2 linked regions of the Arabidopsis thaliana genome follow. Changing the gene in region 2 together with the main gene of any one other region gives a genetic interaction. Each region holds a gene or a part of one and is shown on either strand. Other genes may lie near its edges.

Region 1 (3,754 bases), on a different chromosome or scaffold from region 2:
AATAATACCAAATTGTGAAAAAAAAAACAAATATAAATTATTGACTATAGTTTGAAGTAAGTCGTAATTTTTTCCGCAAGGTAAATTCATTCAAAGTTAAAATGTGGAGAGTGAGAGAAAGAGAGTCGCGTGGCTATTGGGTAATGAGAAACGATTGGACCCATTTGGTATCATTCGGAAGTGATATGTGGCAGAGGGCAATCATACGTTTTCGTCATAGCGTTAGATTTTCTTACAGTTTCTTAGAGATTATTTCGATTGTTTGTGTCAAACGAGTTTAGTATGTTACTGCTATTGAACAGTAGTATTTTCTCATGTATCGATATGAATACGTTTACTCTTTTTCTTTTTTTCACACAATCAGATGAATATAGGGATGAATATACGTAGTTTTGTCTTTGTCATATACTAGATTATATTCCCACCAGTCATTTTCCTATGTATTTAACAAGACAAGACGTAGAAAAATGAGAATTTTAGTACTTGAGTTAACATATTTAAAGATTATATTCCCATCAGTCATTGAACATATGTGTACATATATATACGAGGAGAATCTATAACTTAGTAAGGAGGGAAATATGAGATTTTATTTCTATAGAGAAAAGAAAGGATAAAACCTCTCTCTGCCAACACTGGCCACCGTCTCCAAAGTCCATCCCAGTTAATTTTTATTTTTTGGAATCTTCTTATGTTATTACTCTTTCTTTTCTTATGACAACATGTCAACATGTGACCTGTCGTCTTCTACTTTCTTTTCTTCAGCTTTTCTCCTTTTAAGCAGAATATTCAATCTATCTTCAAATTCATATCTGAGTTTTGTACTATAAAAGAAAAGCAGACATTAAAAAAGATTTGAATATAAAACAAATGTATTGGAGTGGTAAAGCACATCTTCATCAAACATTTTTAAGGAGCATCAATCTAATTGGTCGATGGAAATGGAAGTAAAGGAATAGAAGATTGTTTGTGTTCCATGATGATGTATATATATGCCTAATTAATGTTACTGTTAGTTACCTTTGGATAACAAAGATATTTAAAGCGGTTTAATGCTTATTAACGGTTGATGGATGTTACCTTTTCTTTTTGACATCACGGTAGATGTTACCTTTCATAGGTGTTGAATAGACAGATTGGGGACGTTAATTAGTAATGATGTAATTAGTTAGAGCTAAATAGTGCTAATAAATATATGTAAGAAATTGTTCGGAAAGTAACTAAAAAAAGTTCAATTCATGCAAGTAGACACTTCAAATGTGATAAATGTATAAGTATGATGTTAAGCATGTGACCCTTGAGAGTCGATTAGGGCACTGTACAAGATTGACCCAAATAGTTACAAACTACAAGTGAACTCTCTTCCATTACATATCTACGTGTATTGAGGGGACCATTATCGTACGTATACACGTATATATGTTTTGCCCTAAATTCCCAATTTTAATTCAGCATGGGGGACGGACTCATTCAATAGCATCGTCTTTCACTTTCCTTCTTCGGTTTAAAATCTCATTTTAGTTTCTGATCCAAAAAAAAATGTTTGATCAAAGATCAAAAACTTAGATAGAAACAAACTGTTTTTTTTTCTTAAATCAAGAAAGTCTAAAAAACTAAGATACAAAAAGGGACTCGCAGCGGCAGAGAGATAAGTATCTTACGGGCCAGCAGATAATTTCTATGTTACGTCCCTTTCATCCCCATTGCATATTGCATATGAAGACAACGGATATTAACTAAAATCTTCCAAAATTACGGTATAATGAATAATAATACACTTCTGTCTCATATAGTATTCTATTATATTGTTCGAAAATGTTCTTATTTACATATCTATTTATATTGTTAATTGATTGCGGCTATTACTGTGGATATTCATCGTAACTATTTTAATCAATACAAATCATGCAAAATAGTGAATGACTTAGAAAAGTTGAAACCACATATGATTGAGTTTAGGGGGAAAAGTATAAAAGAAAGCATGACTAGTATGTTACTATGTAGTAAGCTTCAAACATATATTTAAGAAAATACTATATATAGATACATATGATATAACATAACATTAAAATATATGGTGAAACATTTTTTCTTAATATCCTAAGCTTCAAACATATACCCAAGTAGAGAAGAGTTGGAGTATTCATTCTTTGGTTAAACATAGACCTAATACATAGCTCATATGGACAATTTTTCGACAAAACAAAAATGATAGCAAATGGGCTAAAATGGTTTCATATCGAAAAGCCCAAACCATTAAGCCAAAACGACGTCGTACGATATGACAGCGGCGATTCCTATAACCACCACCAGAGGTTAAAAAGTCTCTCTCTTTAGCTATCTTTTTTGTGTTACCGGTTCAAATGGCCGCCGTCGCAGATTCCGTTGAGAACAACGGTTCCATAAACCTCCCTGAGAATGAAAACCTTATACCGGCGGGATTCAGTGCCGCCGCATTGCTTGACGAAAACTCTGGCGCTTTCCCTGAATTGAATCAGCCCGATAGCTTAGCTGCTGCTGAGACTACCTTCCCCGATACGAACGATTCCGCGGAGGAGAGGTGGCCAGGTTGGCCTGGTGATTGCGTGTTTCGTATGATCGTTCCGGTGACTAAAGTCGGAGCTATTATTGGACGCAAAGGTGACTTTATAAAGAAGATGTGTGAGGAGACTCGTGCTCGTATCAAAGTCCTTGATGGTCCTGTTAATACTCCCGATCGCATCGTTAGTATCTCTATCTCCTTCTACGTGATTTACTGTGTTCAAAGCTAATTCGAATTTGGGGATTTTTAATTTCTATTTCTAGGGTTTCTTAATCATAAGTAGGAAGATTCTTGAGTTGTGATCATTAAAGTTGTGAACTTTTATCCCCTAGTTGTGCAATTTGATTACTTTATGGTTCCAATTATAGTTTGAAGTGTTCACTAAGTTAATTACTTGCTCAATGTTATGTTTTAGGTGTTAATATCTGGTAAGGAAGAACCAGAGGCCTACATGTCACCGGCAATGGACGCAGTGTTGAGGGTGTTTAGACGTGTTTCAGGGTTGCCTGATAATGATGATGATGATGTTCAAAACGCTGGAAGTGTCTTCTCTTCAGTGCGTTTATTAGTTGCTTCAACGCAGGCGATTAATTTGATTGGAAAACAAGGATCTTTGATTAAGTCTATAGTAGAGAACTCTGGTGCATCAGTTCGTATTTTATCAGAAGGTATTATCTATCATCTGCAGTTTTCTGTTTTTACCTAATTGATCTCTTTGTTTGTGATTGTTAAAGTTTAGTTTTTGCTATTTCAATTCATGTCTGTTTTTTTTTCTAAAATTGGTGTCTTTGTTGCCAGTTTCTTATTTCTCTACTTTTTTCTGCCAGAGGAAACACCGTTTTATGCTGCACAGGATGAGAGGATAGTGGATTTGCAAGGGGAAGCTTTAAAGATTCTTAAAGCATTAGAAGCCATTGTTGGACACCTTAGGAGATTTTTAGTTGACCATACTGTTGTCCCTCTCTTCGAGAAGCAAGTAAGCTTGCTTGTTTCAATCGAGATTATTCCTTTCCCTTTTTTTTCTTTTCTGAATTATTGTTATCTTTTCTTATCTTCAGTATCTAGCTAGGGTCTCTCAAACTCGCCAGGAAGAACCGTTAGCTGAAAGCAAGTCATCTCTGCATACTATTTCGTCAAATCTAATGGAGCCTGATTTCTCCCTCTTAGCACGGAGGGAACCTTTGTTTCTGGAGCGCGATTCTCGGGTGGACT
Region 2 (3,754 bases):
GTTGATACTTGTTCTTCTGTGGATTTGTAACTTGATTCCTGCTACTAGTTTTAATGTCCACAGTCTCAAGAGTGTCTGGTTTGTGACGAGTTAACACTTTCTGAGTCTCAAATTGTTTGTTGTGAGTCTGTGACGCATCTTTAATCTTTGTCTTTGATACAGGTCTTGCAATTTATGATACTATGCAGTACATTCGTTCTCCTATTAGCACAATTTGTTTGGGTCAGGCTGCATCAATGGCTTCTCTTCTGTTGGCAGCGGGTGCCAAGGGGCAAAGGCGGTCACTTCCAAATGCAACTGTTATGATTCATCAGCCTTCAGGAGGATATAGTGGACAGGCTAAAGATATAACGATTCATACAAAACAGATTGTTCGTGTGTGGGATGCGTTAAATGAATTGTATGTCAAACACACGGGTCAACCTCTTGACGTGGTTGCGAATAACATGGATAGGGATCATTTCATGACTCCTGAAGAGGCTAAGGCGTTTGGAATAATCGATGAAGTGATTGATGAAAGACCGTTGGAGTTGGTGAAAGATGCAGTTGGAAATGAAAGCAAAGATAAGAGTTCAAGTTAGGAAGTAACTGGTAATCAAAGTAATAAATTTTCTTCTTTTCCTCTTACCAGTTTTGCTTTGATCCTGTTAGATTACTTTTTTCTATGGATGAAGTTATGCTCTGAGGGCATGATCTCTCAAACTGTTTTTATTCATTCATAAATCAATCATGACTATATTTCTGAAATCTTTTCCTCGCATGTTTAGTGTTTACAGTCTCATATCTGATTCAGTAAAATGAATATTGGATTAACGCTTGGCTTTGGGTCTTAATTTTATGTGCAGTTTGATGCATTGCAAATCTTTGATTTATGCATCATTTTATACTAACTAGAAAGTCTAAAATGATGAGATTATTGTCTAGTTTCAGAAACCCCAGTTCTAGTTGGTTAGTTTATGTTAGAAGATGGGGTTTGCTGTTTCCTTATGCTCTTGATCGATGTTCTTCGGTTTCATGTTTTTGCTTACCTCATCAAGTCAAAGCCACATCTATTCTGATTTGCCTCTTTTTATATAGAAGAAGTTAGAACACATCATATTCTTGTGTTAACACTGGTCTTTGATTATGCTCTTTGAATTAGGGACAGAATCTTAAGATCTTTATGAAAATTCTTGTACGGTGTTGTCTTGTCGTGTTGAGCTGAGCCTTCAATTGCTAGTGTTTGCTTCTGTTACTCTGAATTATATTTGGACAATCTCACTCTAATAAAAGTTTTTTAAATACTAGCAGAATTGTTAATTTATCCTATGGTTTACATGTTTATATGATTTTGTTGGTTCTATAATGTGTAAAAATGGAAAACATGATTTTTTTTTCCTTTTTTTTAAAAGTATAAATGGAAACGTGTAGGAAAGTGTAAACAAGAAAAGAGGACATAAATGACCCAATGACTTAATAATATATTTGGTTGAGACTTAGGAGTAGTGAGATTAAACTACAAAATAAGGTAAATTGGAAAATAAGGAAAAACCTTTTTCGATTTCGATCTCTCCTTGGTGAAAAAGGAAATTGAAAGGGGAAAAAACGCCGACAACAGTAAACCAAACTTCTCACAAAAACTCCTTGGAAAGTTTTCACCTTCTTTCAGCCCTAACCCCATCGTCTCTCTCTCGCGACCGCCTCATCTCTCTCTGTCTGGATCAATCTCGCTCTCTCTTTCTCTCGGCTACGTCGCTGTTTCTCGTTTCGTGATCCGTAGCTGTCTCCGCTACTACCTTAATCAGCGAGCTTCTTCCGGTGGAATAATCTTCGGATAGGAGGAATCGGAGAATTCTTCTAATTGGGTGTCTGGGTTGGATTGGAATACGTAATTCTGTTGGGTGTTCCAATTTCGCGTTCAAAATTAGGGTTTATAGAGGTCTCGCCTATGGCTCCTGGGCGTAAAAGAGGAGCGAGCAAGGCCAAAGCCAAAGGGCAGTTGGTTCTCGGTGATCTGGTTCTCGCCAAAGTCAAAGGCTTCCCTGCTTGGCCTGCCAAGGTGCGTTATCATTATGATTCCTCTATTGGGTTTTAATTTTTCTTACACAGATTCTTGTTTTTTTTGCTTCTTCTCTAATTGAATTCTCATATAGTCCTTAAGTCCATAGTCATCATCTTTAACTTGTTGGGTCTTCTGTTTTTATCGTTACGAATTCTAGAATACACATTAACTTCGTCGAATTGAGCTCTAGTGTGTTCTGTTTCTTTTTGTTGAGATACTAGGCTTCATGATTAAGTTGGTTTGAAAGTCAGTTAACTCATCTATCTAGTTACTCGGTCAGATTCCATGGTTGAATTATGAAACACACATGTTATTCATCTCGATAAATAATGAGCTTCCGAATCTCTCTAATACAATTCTCTTTAGTTAGTCTCTCTTGTGAAGTAATTTGGTTTTGAGTTTCAGATCAGCCGGCCTGAAGATTGGGATCGTGCGCCAGACCCAAAGAAGTACTTTGTTCAGTTCTTTGGAACAGAGGAAATGTAAGCTATTCTCTTTTATTCTTTGATTCTGGTACCTTCTCATCCAGAAAGGTATATGAACTTTAGTCAGTATATCATGTTGCTAGGAATTAAGTAGTAGACCTCGGTTATCAGGTGTTTCAACATGTTACCAAGTGTTTTTCTTTTTGGCTGACAATATCTTTGGAGTTGATTTTGTCTTTTACAAACTGATCATTGACAAAGTTATCTTCCTTTACTGCAGAGCTTTTGTTGCGCCACCTGATATCCAAGCCTTCACTAGTGAGGCAAAGAGCAAACTATTAGCAAGATGTCAAGGTAAAACTGTCAAGTACTTTGCACAAGCTGTAGAGCAAATCTGCACTGCATTTGAAGGGTTGCAGAATCACAAGTCAAATGCTTTGGGCGATGAGGATTCTCTGGATGCTACTGAACCTGGTTTGACAAAGGCTGAGATAGTGGATGGAACAGATCATATTGTCATTGAGTCTGAGAGAACTGATAACTTTAATTTTAGGGTGGATCCTTGCTTCCCCAAATTAGATGAGAATAATGGTGAGGAGAGAAAGGCTGAGATAAGGAAGCTAGATTCATCTTCATTTCTGGAATCAAAGGTCAAAACCACATCCCCTGTTAGCGAGTCACTGGAGCATAGTTCATTTGACCCTAAAATAAAGAAAGAAGATTTTGATAAAGGAACTGACGGTAGTGCTTGCAATGAACATTTTGGTAATGGCCAAAAGAAGCTGGCTAACGGTAAGAGAATTAAGAAGGAAGCAGGTGGCTCTGATAGAAAAGGTGAAGATACAGTTCATCGAGACAAAAGCAATAACTCACATGTGCCTGGTGGTCGAACTGCCAGTGGTAACTCTGATTCCAAAAAATCGAAAGGTCTGTTGACAGAGAAAACCAGCTCCAAAGTGTCTGCTGATAAGCATGAAAATTCACCTGGCATCAAGGTTGGGGTTTCCGGAAAGAAAAGGAGGCTTGAAAGTGAACAAGGTAAGCTTGCACCAAGAGTAGATGAAAGCTCACGTGCTGCTAAAAAGCCGCGATGTGAAAGTGCAGACAATAAAGTAAAGTGTGAAATTGATGATGGATCTGATTCTACTGGGACTGTATCAGATATTAAGCGTGAAATTGTTTTAGGATTAGGTGCTCGCGGTGGAAATTTTCAATATGATAAAGAAGCAGTTGCATATACAAAGCGCCAGAGACAGACAATGGAGCATGCTACCTCTCCTTCTTTTTC

Evidence for each region. A genetic interaction does not mean that the proteins touch.
Region 1: of HUA2 (region 2) and PEP, changing one enhances a phenotype caused by changing the other (phenotypic enhancement), as found in Arabidopsis thaliana (one study listed by BioGRID).

Annotation. Positions count from the first base shown.
Region 1 is NC_003075.7:13,194,917-13,198,670, forward strand, and holds the start of PEP (RNA-binding KH domain-containing protein), read left to right. Parts: upstream 1-2,152; 5' UTR 2,153-2,363; coding exon 2,364-2,723; intron 2,724-2,957; coding exon 2,958-3,210; intron 3,211-3,369; coding exon 3,370-3,518; intron 3,519-3,600; coding exon 3,601-3,754. UniProt on the Arabidopsis thaliana protein: Regulates vegetative and gynoecium development. In concert with HUA2, antagonizes FLK by positively regulating FLC probably at transcriptional and post-transcriptional levels, and thus acts as a negative regulator of flowering.
Region 2 is NC_003076.8:7,784,246-7,787,999, forward strand, and holds the start of HUA2 (Tudor/PWWP/MBT domain-containing protein), read left to right. Parts: upstream 1-1,589; 5' UTR 1,590-1,927; coding exon 1,928-2,038; intron 2,039-2,446; coding exon 2,447-2,523; intron 2,524-2,746; coding exon 2,747-3,754. Other genes in the region: NCLPP7 (nuclear-encoded CLP protease P7), read left to right, coding at 163-581. UniProt on the Arabidopsis thaliana protein: Transcription factor that functions as a repressor of flowering by enhancing the expression of several genes that delay flowering including FLC, FLM/MAF1, MAF2 and SVP.